Linked DNA regions of Diceros bicornis minor. The main gene of each other region encodes a partner of the protein of the gene in region 2 in a complex. Links are inferred from orthologs where the notes say so. Each region holds a gene or a part of one and is shown on either strand. Other genes may lie near its edges.

What was found. Proteins that work in one complex are often made in the same cells at the same time.
Region 1: the proteins of TUBB4B (region 2) and CFAP107 are in contact, whole or in part, in a cryo-EM structure (PDB 9CPB), measured with the Bos taurus proteins. The link is inferred for Diceros bicornis minor from reciprocal best matches to the Homo sapiens genes TUBB4B and CFAP107. Residues at the interface, in NP_001029835.1 of Bos taurus: Lys19, Glu22, Asp26, Tyr36, Asp39, Ser40, Asp41, Leu42, Gln43, Leu44, Glu45, Glu53, Gly56, Gly57, Tyr59, Pro80, Leu215, Leu217, Thr219, Thr221, Tyr222, Gly223, Asp224, His227, Leu228, Ala231, Gly244, Gln245, Phe270, Pro272; in NP_001033296.1 of Bos taurus: Thr74, Val75, Glu76, Gly77, Leu78, Tyr80, Lys81, Leu83, Ile84, Thr85, His86, His87, Gln88, Glu89, Gln92, Arg93, Tyr94, Leu95, Ile96, Ser97, Thr98, Asp101, His102, Pro133, Pro138, Thr139, Asn140, Tyr141, Leu143, Tyr144.

What each region holds. Positions count from the first base shown.
Region 1 is NC_080752.1:31,704,567-31,712,286, forward strand, and holds the start of CFAP107 (cilia- and flagella-associated protein 107), read left to right. Parts: upstream 1-4,718; coding exon 4,719-4,832; intron 4,833-7,720. UniProt on the Homo sapiens protein: Microtubule inner protein (MIP) part of the dynein-decorated doublet microtubules (DMTs) in cilia axoneme, which is required for motile cilia beating.
Region 2 is NC_080767.1:43,763,690-43,771,656, reverse strand, and holds TUBB4B (tubulin beta-4B chain), read right to left. Parts: upstream 2,986-7,967; 5' UTR 2,932-2,985; coding exon 2,875-2,931; intron 2,561-2,874; coding exon 2,452-2,560; intron 2,371-2,451; coding exon 2,260-2,370; intron 1,749-2,259; coding exon 688-1,748; 3' UTR 539-687; downstream 1-538. Other genes in the region: CIMIP2A (protein FAM166A), read left to right, coding at 1-27, 450-538; SLC34A3 (sodium-dependent phosphate transport protein 2C), read right to left, coding at 7,172-7,636. UniProt on the Homo sapiens protein: Tubulin is the major constituent of microtubules, a cylinder consisting of laterally associated linear protofilaments composed of alpha- and beta-tubulin heterodimers.

The sequences.
Region 1 (7,720 bases), on a different chromosome or scaffold from region 2:
ATCTTGAAAGCCAAAAAGGCTGCCAATTTGGTGTACATGGCTCTAGCAGTTAAGAGCCATTAGGGCACTCGCCACCTCAAGAATTCTCCCATGGAAGGATAAGTTGGGTCACAGAACAGGGTAGATGACACAGGTCCCCCTGGCAACTTCAAGAAAATGTCCGTGCAATGACAAGGTACTCTGTAAAGCACACACAGTCCCCAAGCCAGCGGAACCTCCCCCCTAGGTGTTGTTCTGGCTCCAAGAGACCCAAAGCTTAGCTAAAGCTGTTCATGTGCATATCAGATGAGGTTTTCTCTTTTGTCTTGTTCTATGTCTTGAGAGCTTGGCTTTGTGACCTTTCTGGTCTCTGCCATCTGGAGGTTGCATGTACTGGCATGCATCTTGGCAGCCAGTCATGTAGACTGGGGATCCAGGACACACTCTCTTTGTCCAGCTGTGTCAGCTCTCAGGGGAGTTCGTCATAAGGGATCTCAATTGCTTTCATAAGGAGCCTTTGTTGTCTCAACTTTCATTGCTTGTTGTGAAACGAAGCCATTTTCTTTCTTAGACTATTTTTGGGAGTGAACTTTCTGGATCTTGTGAGGGCTGCTTTTGCACTCTCTTTTGGGGATGCCTGTTGTGTCCATGGTTAAGCTGTAAAAGTCTTATTGGTATGAGTCGCTGCTAAGATCCTACTCATCAATGTGGCCAGACAATGGATCGCTGAAATTGGGAAAACTTCTAAATTAGAAAAAAAAAAAATTTTTGAGAGCTCTTGTCATAATTGTTTTATTGGTACCTGTGAAAGGCCAAATTGTGTATACAGATAGAAAAAGAGTTTGGTGTTATCCAGCAAAGTTGAAGAAACACATACCCTATGACCCAGCAATTTCACTCCTAGGTATATATCCTAGAGCAGAGGTTTCTGAAGTGTGATCCACAGACCCCTGGAGATCCCCCAGTCCCTTTCAGGGGGCCTGCAAGGTCAAAACTATTTTCTTAACAATACTGAGATATTATTTGCCCTCTTTCACAGTGTTGAAATTTGCACTGATGATGCAAAAGCAATGGTGGGTAAACCTGCTGGTTGCTGTGCGTGAATCAAGGCAGTGCCACTAAATGTACTAGTAGCTGTGGTATTCTGCACTGCCACACACTCGCAGTAACAATAATGCTAGTTTCACTTAAAAGTGTCCTTGATGAAGAAGTGAAAATTATTAATTTTATTAAATCTTGACCTTTGAGCAGATGTCTTTTTGACATGGTGTGTGATGAAATGGGAAGGGAGTGTGGTAAAGCTCTGCTGTTGGATACCCAAGGGTGATGGTTCTCTTGAGAAAGAGCACTGTGTGCCATTGTTTGAGTTGTGAGCAGAATTAGCTAAGCTTTTTAAAAAATGAAACACCATTTTTACTTGAAAGAACAAGTGGCAGACAAACCACGATTATTCAAATTAGAATATTTAGAAGACGTTTTCTTGAAAATGAATGAAGTCTGTCACTTCAAGGAAAACAACGGACAGTGGTTGTGCCAATGACAAAATTTTGAGCTTTCAAGCTAAAATTAGAATTTTGGAAAACTCATATCTGCCTCTGTGAGCTCCACTTCCTAACACTTAAATGCTTCTCTGATGAGATCAGTAGTGATATTAGCAAATGTGATTTTTTTGATATTGTGTAATGAAATATGTGTACATTTGGAAGACGTGAACAACTCAGTATATTAATATTTTCCAAATGACCACTATGATGTTACAGAACCATGAATGGGCGACAGAGCTATTGAAAGAACAAGATCAATCTGTAGATTTTTTTTTTTTTTTTTTTTTTGTGAGGAGGACCAGCCTTGAGCTAACATCCAATGCCAATCCTCCTCTTTTTTGCTGAGGAAGACTGGCCCTGGGCTGACATCCGTGCCCATCTTCCTCTACTTCATATGGGACGCCGCCACAGCATGGCCTGACAAGCGGTGCGTTGGTGCGCGCCCGGGATCCGAACCGGCGAACCCCGGGCCGCCGCAGCGGAGCGCGCGCACCCAACCGCTTGCGCCACCGGGCCGGCCCCAATCTGTAGATTTTAATGTAGCAGAGCTCAAAGAGTTCACTGAATAGTTTCAGAGTCCACATTGCAACTAACCTTTAAGAAACTACCATTTGTTGAGTTTTGGTGTAGTATCAAAGAATATCCACAATTAGCTGCAAAGACTATTAAAATACTTCTCTGTCTTCTAATTACACATCTTTGTGAGACTGGATTTTCTCCTTTAAACAGAACAACATATCACAACAGGTTGAATGAAGAAGCAGATATGAGCATCCAGCTATCTTTTATTAGGCCTGACATTAAAGAGATTTGCAAAAACAAAACTCTTCTCACTAAGTTTTTTGTTTTGGAAATAGAGTTAATGTCCATAAAAATTTAATTATGTTAACATGCAATGAGTTTGCTATTTTAAAATTAATAAATATTAATTAATATATTAACAAATTTAAATTTATATTTAATTAATTAAAATTTGTTTGGAAAATAGAATTACGTGTGATAAAAATTTAATTACATTAACAGGCAATGAGCTTGTTGTTATTATGAAATTAATAAATATATTAATATCAATAATTACTAATAAATATTCAAAAATTTTCCACTTTTAATTTCTAATATGATAAATATTGATGGATATAACCAGTGGTATGCTGATAAACTGACTCTCTTAAAAAAAAAAAAAAACGCTGATACATAGCATTTGCCAATTCTGTGGCATAAATATTCCCACCATGGCTGATTTCAAGCTACCGTGACTTTACAGAGTGTGAGGTTGGGAAGAGATCAAAGCAAAATTGGCTCTCCTCATGAGTTGGTATGACTCCAGTTGGCTCCAGCACCACTAATATAATCCACATTCAAAAGCTCTTTGGGGCCTCAATAATTTTTAAGAGATTAGAAAGCTTGAGAACCACTGCCCTAGAGACATGGCTATCTGGGCACCAGGAGACATAAACCATGCACAAAAAATCCTAGCAACTATGGCTATACATAACGCGAGTGAATCTTAAAAACATTAACTATTTTGAGGAGAAGAAACCAGACTCAGATGAATACATACTACAGGATTCCATTTATACCACTAACAAGCAAAACTAAGCAGTCGTGTTTAGGAACGCACATCCTTTTGTGCAGAGCATTTACAGAAGAGCAAGAAAGTGATGGCTCCGGAAGTCAGGTTGAGTGGGAGGACACAAGTGGGGCACTCCGGGGGGGCTGGCAATGTTCTGCTTCTTGACCTACATGCTGGTTTTGGGGGCTTTTGCTTTACCATAATTCATTTATCAGGACAATTATTTTTAATGTACTTTTTCACGTTTGTGTTGTATTTTATAAAAAAAGGTTTTTAAAAAGTGAAATTATACAGAACACGTGGATCCCCTGCTCTTTGATTGGAAAGCCACCCCCTCTTCCTGGCGCTAGCCCTGCCTAGACTCTGTCCCTGCCAAATAGACGCTTGCTCTGCTCTGTGGTACATCTATGTCCTTTTCCTGCCACGTGCTTAGTTTCAAGATGGAGCCAATAATTTTCTTAGAGTTGGTCTATTTTTATTTGTAGGTAATTGGAAAACACTTCCTCTGAATTGCCTACTTGAAATAGAATGTCTTCATTTGTGGCGAGCAAGACTACGTGATTCTGCTTCTTAACCATATATCACAGGCACCTTCCTATGTCAGCACTTTTTAACAGCTACGGAGTATTTCATTATATGGCTGTACCACAATTTATTGAACCAGCCCTCTGTTGATAGATATTTAGGTAGCTCCTGATTTTTTTGCTCGATGAGTAAACAAGATAACGGCCTTTATCCCATTGGACTGAGCTCTGTGGGGATGGAGCCCCTGTCTACTCAGCCATGCACTGCAGCCTCAGCTCAGTGCTCCAGATGTAGCATGTGCTCAATAAAATGATTGTGAAGTGAATGAACGAAGACTAACCAAATGAACTGTTTTGTATCAGTTCGAGCACGAAGATAGGATTCTCAGTGGAAGTCCCGTAGGCAAAGGAGCAGACAGGTAGTGAGTGGAACCCAGTGGTCTAGGCCTGAATCAGAGTGGATTTAAATCCCAGCTCTCCCACATGTGTGACTTTAAGCAGCTACTTAATCTCTCTTTGCTTCAGTGTCCTCACCTGTAAAATGGGTATAATAATGGCACCTGCTTCACAGGGCTGCTGTGAGGATTAAATGAGTAAGTACACGCAAATGTCTCTCTATGGGCTTAGCACATCAGTACTCATTAAGCAGCAGTAGAACGCAATCATCTCAACTCACACTAGTTGTAAAAATGCAGCATGGATGATGCCTTTCAAGGGGTGACAACACGGAAACCACGTCCTTCTGGCCACTGCTTCTGTGGTGGTGGTTGTTGGTTTGATTGGCTTTTGTGGGGTCAATTTTGCTCCTGAAGAATCAGCTGCTCCCATAAGGAGAATATGTATACGCAGAGGCCATCACCATGGAGACAGTCAACAGTAGGGAATCCAAGATCACGTCACCTCTCCCTGGATGCTGAAAGTGGACTCTCAGGACCTTTTTACTCTGTGAGGTTGGCAGGGTGTCATCTTACTACTCACTCAGAAGGGTGGCTGGGAAGAAAAAAAAAGGCATCCCAAACTTAATAGCTTCATAACATCTCCTCAGCCCTGAAATCTTAGACTGTGTCAAGTCAAAGACACTCAGGGCAAATCCTTACCATGCAGTTTTTGACTGCAGTAATTCCACAGTCATTTGCTACTCCAAGCTGGAAGATCGAGACCAAGTATTCAACCAGAGTGCTCATTGGAAACTGGGTGGAAGAGAGGGGAAAGGTAAGGGAAGAGAGAAGATGGGCAGAGGGGCTCAGAGGGAGGACTGGCAGGGAGAGGTACGAGCGGGTCATTACTATTTCTAAATCAAGAGCCATAGATGATTCTATTTTCGGAACGTGGCATTAGGGTCTCTGTGCTCTACATAGGGGAGTTGCATTCAAGCAAGCATCAAGGTCTCCACTATATCCTGAAAACACAATAGCAGAAGTGTCAATATAGTCGTGCCTTGCAGTACTGTTTTCAGTGGGGTGTTTCTAGGCATTTGATGTTCCCTGTCTGTAATCCCTCTACACCTTGATTTGAAGAATGTCTGCTCTCCCTGGCCTGGCCTTCCCCAGAATGTGGCACCTGCTAAGGCAGGCTTGATACTCCCTGCACTGATGTCCATGGATGAAGTGCTGCTCTCTGGCACCTGTTCCACAACCTTGCCCCGTCTGTGCATTTCAAGTTTTTACTTTCAAAACAGAACCAATGGGCTCTTGGTGTTCTCATGTACTTTGAAGGCCATCGCAAAATATTTGCCTGAATTGGCCTACTTGTAATTGAATATCTTCATTTGTGGTGATCAGGACTGAGCCACTTAAATTTCTGCAGAGACACCTAGACATCCTCATGCCTTCTTGGGAAATGGGCAGGGAAAAGAGGGTGAGATAGAATCGGCAGCTTTGATGTACGTGTAGGGAAAGGTGGTGGTAACTTCTGAGAACTGGAAAAGGTGATTTTCATGGAGGACATTAGAATTTACCACTCCTCTGGCCAGATATGCCTTGTGTTAGCCCTAACTACACTTGGCCTTGTTTGGGGAGCAGCTGTGTGTCAGGGAAGTTCCAAGGATAAGAAAGACTAGCTGAGCAATCCCTTCAGGCTCCTGTGGGTGAGGCAGTACTCAGGAATATTATGGGCTGGTTCTACACCCAGAGGAGATTGCATAAAGAGAGCAAAGTTGGAGTGATGTCAGAAAGATGGCAGACTCAGAAGCTCCAGGTTCTCGTTGTCCCAGAAACACTTAAACAACAACTAGCTAAAATAACTATACAGGAGCTCTGGAAAACAGTCAATGGTCTACAGTAACCAATTTAGAAAAAGCCACATTCAAAGTGGTAGGAAATTCCACGTTGTTTTTACTTGCCCTTTCCCGTTCCCTCCCCAGCACAGCATGATGCAGTGTGGGGGAAGCACTGGCCCAGCTCTCAGTTCCCTTCCTTGAACCTAGAGGGAGTGGAGCAACATTCTAACTTGTCTGGGGTCTGCCTGAGGGATTGGTCTCTATTTTGCTTAACTCAGAGCTCATACAGGGAAAAGTGGCATAGTTCATATTTCAGGCTAGGAAAAGCTGTGGAGAGCAGTGGTGATCACAGCTAGTGAAAGCTGCCAGGGGACTACAGGCCTGAAAATGTCTAGGGAAAGAGATTACAGGTAGAGGAATATAACAGTATACCTAAGGCCCTAAGAGGAAGCAAAGGAGAGACTCTTTGGGAAATGAAGGCATTTTAAAGCAGCTATGTATGCAGGGGAAATAAAAAAGCACCCCCACACACACACCCACACACACACACAAGCCAAGGCAAGACGCATGCTCAGAAAATTCCTGAGAAGAACGTAAGCCTTCACACCAGGCTAATTCCATGGCTCAAAACATGCCTTGCTAGTTAGTGGAGATCTTCCCTCGAATGGAGCCCGTCTGCAAAGACTAGGAGAGGTGGCTGTTTTTTCAAATGCCCAATTTTCAACAACAAAAAGTCATAAACCATACAAAGAAACAGGAAAACACAGCCCATTCAGAGGAAGAAAACACAGTGGCAAGCACTATCCCTAAGAAACATAGGCATCAGAAGTACTAGACAAAAACTTTAAAACAACTGTCTTAATATGCTTAAAGAGCTAAAAGAAAATATGGACAAAGAACTAAAGGAAATCAGGAAAATGAAATATGAAAAAAATGAGAATATCAATTAAAAAATATAAATTATAAAAAGGAACCAAAAAAATTATGGAACTGAAAAATACAATAACTAAATTGAAAAGATTTCACTAGAGGCATTCAACAGTGGACTTGAACAGGCAGAAAAAAGAATCAGAGAACTCAAAGACAGATTATTTGAAATTATCAAGTCTGAGTAGCAAAAAGAAAAAAGGAGAAAATTGAACAGAGTCTAAGGACTAATGGGACACCATCAAGCAGACCAATATACACATTATGGGAGAAAAGAGAGAGACAAAGGGGCGGAGAGATTATTTGAAGAAATAATAATCGAAAACTTCCCAAATTTAAAGAAAAGACATGGATGTACAAATTTGAGAAGCTTAATGAATTCCAAGTAGGATAAATTCAAAGAGACCCACATAGAGACACATTATAATCAAACTGTTGAAAGTCAAAGACAAAGAGGGAATCTTGAAAGCAGCAAGAGAAAAATGACTCATCACATACAAAGGAGCCCTTATAAGATTATCAGTAGATTTCTCAGCAGAAACTTTGTAGGCCAGAAGGCAGTACAATGATATGTTTAAAGTGCTCAAAACAAAAAAAACTATCAACTGAGAATACTATAGCCAGCAAAACTGTCTTTTAAAAATGAAGGAGACATTAAAACATCCCCAGATAAACAAAAGTTGAGGAAGTTCACTACCACTAGACCTGCCCTACAAGAAATGCTAAGGGGAGTCCTTGGAGTTGAAATGGAGCAACACTAGACAGTAACTCGAAGCCATATGAAAATATAAAGACCTCTGGTAAGTGTAAATACATGGACAAATATAAAAACCACTACCATTGTAATTTTGATTTATAACTCCACTATTTTCTACCAGATTTAAAAAACAAATGCATAAAAATAATTATAAATCCATGTTAATGGGTACGCAATATGTCAAGATGTAATTTGTGA
Region 2 (7,967 bases):
TACCTTTCTATATGGGCTTCGTACCATGTGAGTACACACTGGGGTCCCTGCCCACCTCGTTCAGACACAGTCACAGTGACCAGGCCGCTGTGGGGAGGGGTGGGGCAGCTGAGACCCCTTACCAGTGCTGCACCACTGGCACAGGGCCAGGTGTGTGACCACATTATCCCCAGGGGCTCTTGTGGTAGGACTGCCCACCCTCTACCATTCCCAGCTGTGGACGGGCCTCACTGACCTCTCCTACTACAAGTTGCAGACACAGAGGCCAGCTGTCTCCAGACCATGCTGGCTCTCTGGAGGTTCAGTGGGCAGGAAGCAGGTGCTCAGGGCAGCCCCAAGCTCCTCAGAGGCGTGCATGTTCACAGCCCGTGACCCCCCCAGTGGCCACCTGCAGGCTCACCCTGGGCGCGTGGCAAGCCCAGAGCCCAGTGGCAGCACTGCCCTTGCAGCCATGCAGGACAACTTTGCCCTGACCTTTGGAAACGGTACGCGTAAAGCCTATCAGAAGGAACTGGAGAGGCGAAAGCAGACACTATGAAAACGCTTTAATGGTGGTGTCTGTACAGCACACGACATCAAGACAGGAAGGAAAGTAAGTGGACAAACAAGACATGGCTATCAGGAAACAGGTTGTGAGCGAATAAAGAGTTCACAAGGCTTCTGCGCTCTACTGGGTACCAGACAGCTCTAGGCCACCTCCTCCTCCGCCTCCTCCTCAAACTCGCCCTCCTCCTCGGCCGTGGCGTCCTGGTACTGCTGGTACTCAGACACCAGGTCGTTCATGTTGCTCTCGGCCTCGGTGAACTCCATCTCGTCCATACCCTCGCCCGTGTACCAGTGCAGGAAGGCCTTGCGCCGGAACATGGCCGTGAACTGTTCCGAGATGCGCTTGAACAGCTCCTGGATGGCCGTGCTGTTGCCAATGAAGGTGGCAGACATTTTTAGGCCCCGGGGCGGGATGTCGCAGACAGCTGTTTTCACATTGTTGGGGATCCACTCAACAAAATAGCTGCTGTTCTTGTTTTGCACGTTAAGCATCTGCTCATCCACCTCCTTCATGGACATGCGACCCCTGAACACGGCAGCCACGGTCAGGTAGCGGCCGTGGCGGGGGTCGCAGGCAGCCATCATGTTCTTGGCATCAAACATCTGCTGGGTGAGCTCGGGCACCGTCAGGGCCCGGTACTGCTGGCTCCCCCGGCTGGTCAGGGGGGCAAAACCAGGCATGAAGAAGTGCAGGCGGGGGAAGGGGACCATGTTGACAGCCAGCTTGCGCAGGTCAGCATTGAGCTGACCAGGGAAGCGCAGGCAGGTGGTGACCCCACTCATGGTGGCCGACACCAGGTGATTCAGGTCACCGTATGTGGGGGTGGTCAGCTTTAGGGTTCTGAAGCAGATGTCATAGAGGGCTTCGTTATCAATGCAATAGGTCTCGTCTGTGTTTTCTACGAGCTGGTGGACGGAGAGGGTGGCGTTGTAGGGCTCCACTACAGTGTCCGACACCTTGGGCGACGGCACCACACTAAACGTGTTCATGATCCTGTCTGGGTACTCCTCTCGGATCTTGCTGATCAGGAGGGTACCCATCCCAGACCCAGTCCCCCCACCCAGGGAGTGGGTCAGCTGGAAGCCCTGCAGGCAGTCACAGCTCTCAGCCTCCTTCCTCACGACATCCAGCACCGAGTCGACCAGCTCTGCGCCTTCTGTGTAGTGTCCCTTGGCCCAGTTGTTCCCGGCACCACTCTGACCTGCAACAGAGAGCAGGCGTGTGGTCACCAATGCCAAAATAGCCAATTAACCTGGAGTGAGATGACACACAGAACTCATCCTGCAGGTAGAGCAGAAGGACCCCCAAACTGATACAGCAGCAGCCAGCCTCACTAAAACTTAACAGTCGGCCCGAGATGGCTTAACAATAAGCTAGCCCCTCCCATGGGCAGCTCCTGCCAATTCCCAAGGACAGATGAGCTGTCAGAGCTGCCACCGCCCCTAGCTCAGCCATCGCTGCAGGGAGATTACATCTGCCGGCTCCTTCCCTGCGGGCGGACAGCTGGGCCTTCCTCCCAAAGCCGCTTTACCAGAGAAGACTGAGTGACTCGAGGGGGGAGGAGAGTGTCCAGGAGCCCTAGCTGCTGCTCGGGGGACAGGGTGGATCAGAATCTCGACTCTGCGGTTCTGACGGTGGTGACCTTGGACACCTCTTGACCTTTGAGCCATCCTCGCTAACAGGCCGCCGCCCAGCCCCTATCCGCGGCTCACCGAAGACGAAGTTGTCCGGCCTGAAGATCTGCCCGAAGGGCCCGGAGCGCACCGAGTCCATGGTGCCCGGTTCCAGGTCCACGAGCACGGCGCGGGGCACGTACTTGCCACCTGGAGGGCGGGGGGGAGGGCGTCAGCAAGGGAAAGGCCGCGGGCGGCAGGAGTGGTGAGGAAAGGGCGCGGGGGTCTCACCGGTGGCCTCGTTGTAGTACACGTTGATCCGCTCCAGCTGCAGATCGCTGTCCCCGTGGTAGGTGCCGGTAGGGTCGATGCCATGCTCGTCGCTGATCACCTCCCAGAACTGCGATATGCGAGCGGCCGGGCCGGGGCTGAGTCACGCTGGCGGTGTCCGGACCCGGCCCCACCCCGGACGGGCGCGGCCCGGCCCTCCCCCGCCGCAGGGTCCGTCCCCGGGAGCCCGTGCCGCCGCCCCGGCCTCGACCCCCGCCTTGCCCCGGTCCCCACCCCGGCCCCGACTGCCATCGCCGCCCCGGTCCCGACCCCGCGCGGGGCCGCAATGCAGGGGCGCCACCCGCCAGCCCGCTGCCGCCATCTTTCCCGTCGGCCCGCCCCGCCCGGCAACCCCGCGCCGGCCCCCGGCGCCCCGCCGCCCACCTTGGCGCCGATCTGGTTGCCGCACTGGCCTGCCTGCAGGTGCACGATCTCCCTCATGGCGGCGGCGGCGGCGGCGCAGGCGGAAAGACGGACACAAGACACAAGGAGCGGGCGCGCAGAGTGCTACAACCGACGCTCGGCCAGCGCTTATATGCCCGCCGCGACCGCCTCCGCCGGCCTCGTATTGGCCCGCCAGAACGAGGCTGGCAAGCGGCCTCTTTTGATTGGCTATAGCGTCGTCAATCGAGCCGCCTAACGCCCGCCTTCCCAACGCCGTTCGTCCTTTATTGGTCTGCCGCGGTCTCTGCTCTCCCTATCAAAATTCCCCTCCTCGCGCTGCGGTGGTCTGTCCATTGGATGTTTCAAATGATTGATTTGTCCTCTCATTGGCTGGCTCCGGAAAGCACGCCGACAGGCTGGCGCGATTGGCTGCGTGGGGCCAGCGTCCTGGTAACCGCTGCAGTGCCGCGGGGGCGGCAGCGGGGGCGGGCGGGCGCAGTCCCGGGCCGGAGCCTCGGGAGCGCCAGGCGTGCCCGCAGCCCGCGGTGGGCGAGCGATGCCCGGGGACCGCCCCCGTGCGGCTCTCGAGGGCGGCCGCCGCGGAACGAGCGCGCGCGTGGTCTGGCCTCGCCGCCCGCGGGGTCTCGGAGCCCGCAGAGATAGACAGGGCTCTGGGCCCGGGGGGGGATGGGGCCGTGGTCGCCTGCGTCCCCCCGGTCCCCGCGCCGCTCCCGGCGCGGTCAGGTGAGGGAGCACGTGGCGCGGCGCCCCGGCCCGGCGCGGAGAGCGGGGCGGGCGAGGAGGGAGGGGGCCTGCCCGCGGTCACGCTTGTTGTGGAGACGCGCTGGCCCCGCGCCCGTCGCCGTGGTGCCTCGGCCCCGGGGGCGCACAGAGCTGCGTGGAGACGCGGGCGGGCCCCGACCTCCGGGCTCACCGGCCCTGTTACCCCAACCGCGAATCTACGTGCCTGAGCTGACAAATGCTTCTTTTTCCTGATTTTTGTTTGCGGGGAAAAAAACTAATGCAGGAAAACAGTGAAATTACATGTGTTCACACCTTTAGTCAATCGCCTTAAAAACAGTACACTTGTGCTATATTTTCGTAACATTTTTAAAAAGAATAATTGCATTCTTGCGTCTGCCCAGACGGTCTCCCTTGCCGCAACCACTGTGGCCTCTCCAGATTCTGGTTTTCTCGGTGAACTTCTTGCCCACCTTTGCCGCCACCCCGAGGGTGTTGGGGGCGATACCTGGTTGTTTATTTCTCTCTCTGTAGAGGGAATGTGCGCGCTCCCTTGTGCACCACGTAATACCCAGTGCCAAGGCACTATGGCGTACTGCTGTGTTACAGCACATCATGGTATACACAACTGAAACTGTTAGTCTGGGTGAAATTGTTGGGACAGCGGCAGGCTGGCAGAGAAACTAGCCTTCCCATCCCCTGGAGAGTGGTCTGCAGTTGCGCTCCTGGGATTGCAGTCCTGGCCTGGAGAGTGAGTCAGCATGGCAAAGTGCCATCCGTCCTGACAGGGCCTAGGAGACCAGCCCCCTCCCCACAGTCTGGTCCAAGGAGGCAGACCTCGCTTGTGTTGACCACAGGCCACGCAGGTAGGGTGCACAGAGTCACTGCCTGCGTCCTGGGTCCGCGCACTGCCCTGGAAAGTCGCTTAGCTGCCCAAGCAGCAGCTGGCAAGGCTGAGGCACTGCAGCAGGAGGCTGTTGCCACCTCCTAGCATTGAGTTGTCACAAACCCACAAGTTAGGGAGAAAGCAGCTCTGATTTTTCTCCGGTGAGCCAGTGAGCGGTGCAAAGCTCTGCTGGGGTTCTTTGAGGTTTGTCAAAGTCCCCCTTCACGCCCCCACCCCCAGCCATGTGGCCTGAGACCCCCACTGGAAAAGGCCCCTGCTTCCTGTGAGTGCCCACAGGGTTGGGAGTTCAGTAACTTTACAGGTAACAAAATAGAGGTGGTGTCGTTTTCCCAGGTGTGAGCCCCCAAGCTCTCTCTCTGGCAACAGGTAGTCTGCCGTAACCCCTCCCATTACCCCTTTGAGGTGGACACTAGCTGAGAACAAGACAGCAGGAGCCTCCCTCGGGCCTGCGCTGGGCTGGTGGGAGGAGGCCCTGTGGGTCCCCACCCTCAGCCAAGGGTGTTCCTGCCTGGGCCCAGTGGGTGTCTGTGGCTGGCAGGATGCAGAGCAGGGGAGGCCAGACGCACAGGGAAGCCCAGGCAGGGGCCGTGGGAGTGCTGGGCACCTGGCCCTCCCACCCCAGCCTGCAGCTGTTGGAAGGAGGCGTCCACAACAGTGGCTCTGTTTACTGGTGGCCATGGTCCCAGCGGGAGGGTGTGTTACCGCCAGGCAGTGGCAGCAGGCAGACAGTCGTTCGTGGCCTCAAAGGACCTGGTGGTCAGCCTTTGTGGGCGGCCTCACCCGCCCCCGGCAGGAGAGGTGCACAGGGTACTTTCTTCCCCTCTCACTGCATCCCTATTGTCGGGTGGGGGTGGGGTGGCAGGGCATGTCCCCAGGGAACTAGCCAGGCCCAGCTCCTCCTCAGAGACTTCCATCAGAGGGACCGTGAAGCTGATGTCAGATCCGCAGGAGTGTACTGAGGTCACAGAAGTGGGGGGAACCCAAGAGGGGGTGCATGAACCTGCCTCAGGGGTCTTGCTCTCACCAGGCCTCTCATAGCTCCCAGGACAGGTGGCCACGTCCCTCAGTGGACAGGGGAAACCCCAGGCTCAGGAGGCCCAGGAGCTTGTTGGGGGAAGCGGACCTGGGAGGTGCTGAGAGGGGCTGGGAGTCCCGGGTGGGGGGGGAGACTGAGAAGGTGGGGGACACGGGGAGCTGAGGGGACTGAGGATAGGGGACATGGGGCGGGGGACTGAGAGGGGATGGGGGGCTGAGAGAACTGAAAGGATAGGGGACATGGGGCGGGGGACTGAGAGGGGATGGGGGGCTGAGAGAACTGAAAGGGTGGGAGACATGGGGGGGACTGGGGACTGAGAGGATGGGGGGCCTGGTGGGGGCACTGCTGAGGGGACCAGAGGGTGAGTAAAAGGACAGGACCATGGGCGAGAGCTGGCCCTGGGGCTCCCTGGCCTCATCGGACCATCACATTCTGCCCCCCTGGGTCTGGCTAGGCAAGCCTGGGGCGGAGGGGCGGGGGGCGCCGCTGGGATGGAAGGTGCGCCCCCTTCAGGGCAGCATTCCTGGCCCGGAAGGAGGTGACCGGCCATAGCAGCAGACTCTCTAAAAAACGGGGCAACTCAGCCACCTGACCAGGGGCAGCCCGTCCACCGCCGGTCTGTGCCAGTGGCCTCTCTCAGGGCGGCGTTCGGGAGGAGCAGTTCACCAAAGATTGCTTTTTCTGTCGGTCGCATGGGGAGTGGGGCTGGAGTTGTGGGCAGCACCGGACTGGGGGGGCCGGAGGCCCAGGCCGTTTCCTTGGTGTTCGGTTACCGGCCGGCCGCAGACCAGCCCTCCTGTATAGAAACCCGCTGCGCTGCCACAGGTGGGGCAGGGGCCAGGGTGCGTGGGAGCCTGGGGTGGGTCCAGCGCTCAGCCCCAGAGGCCTTTGCACTGGCAGAGAGGGGGCTCGCCTATGGGCTCCAGGTGCGGCGGCGCCAGGGGGCGTGGGCAGGACCCACTTCCTGGGACGTGTTGGGGGCTGAGCACCTGCTCTGCCAGGGCCCTGCAGGTGGTGCCCCTGCGGCCACAAGGCACAGGCTGGGGTGCCCCGGAAACCTGAGTGTGGGCTCTCCCACCCCCTGCAGCCCTGCGGCCCCCAGCCTCCTGGTGCACATCCTTGGGGCGGTGGTGTGTGGGAGCCGGCCACCCTTGCCTCTTGCACCCTCAGGGAAGGGCCCGGCAGCGTCCAGCCTTCTCCGACCCCGGCTTCTTGCTGCGAGAAGTCTCCATGCTCTGGACTGGCCGCTATTTGGCAACTTCTGTCCCTGACGGCCGTGGAGAGAAACGGAAATACAGTCTGGGGCTGGGGGTCAGCTCTGTGCCCACACCCACTGGGCAGCCAGCTCCCACGCAGGCTCACCATGGCCCCCGAGTGTCCGCCAGGGGGCAGCCTCGCGCTGCCCCACCACCAGCTCCCCTTGGAGCTCGGCCGGGGGCCGTCCCCGGGCAGCCCTGTCGGGAAGTGAAGATCACCCACACGGGTCACAGCCTCTCGTTTATTTGCAAAGAAGATGATCCAGGTGACTCAGAAGTTTGCTGCTACTGGGATCCCCCAGGGCACCCAGAGGTCAGCGGGGTGAGGGTTGTGGGGGGCCCTGGGGGGCCCACCCCTCACAACTGCTGGGAGGCCAGCACCTCGGGGTTCTCATGGCAGTGGGCCTCCTTGCTGGCGGCCCGAGGGGGGCTGCGGGCCCTGCAGGGGCAGCAGCGGCTCACCAGGTGGTCCCAGGGCTCCAGAGAATGGAGCCACAGGGGGAGCCAGGCCCAGGACCGCAGGCAGTGGGGCAGCCAGACTGGCCGGTGCCGCTGCAGGACATTGACCAGGACGATGAGGAGCACCAGCCCCACTAGGGGCCCCCCGACTGCGGCCAGCACTGTGCCACCCGCCAGGGAGAGCCCAAAGGTGGCCAGTGGCAGCAGCAGGAAGGTGAACAGCAGGTAGGCTATGGCCACCCAGCGGTAGTGGGCGGTCAGGTCCCCGAAGCGCTTGGCCAGCGGGATGGGCAGCCGCAAGATGGGCACCACGTACCACAGCAGGATGCCGCCCAGGTTGAAGAAGAAGTGGATGAGGGCAACCTGGAGGGCGGGAGGGCAGGCAGGGGCAGGAGTCTGGGCCCAATGGCATGGGGTCCGTTGGGCTCCCCAGGACGCCTGCCCTGCCCCTGCCCCGGCAGAAATGGTGCTAAGATCAAAGCTTGTCTGGGGTCCTGCTCATTGGCTGAGAATGGCCACCTGGGAGGGCAGATTCCAGCCAGGCGTGAGCACACTCCTCCTGCTGCCCCCCAACACCTTGGGAGTCAGGAGCCCAGTCTGGCATCCCAATGTGGTAACTGCGCTGCTGGTGGCTGCGTGGATCTGACCCTCCCCTGGGCTGGCTTAACTTGCTCATGCCTCGTGCCTGGTGACC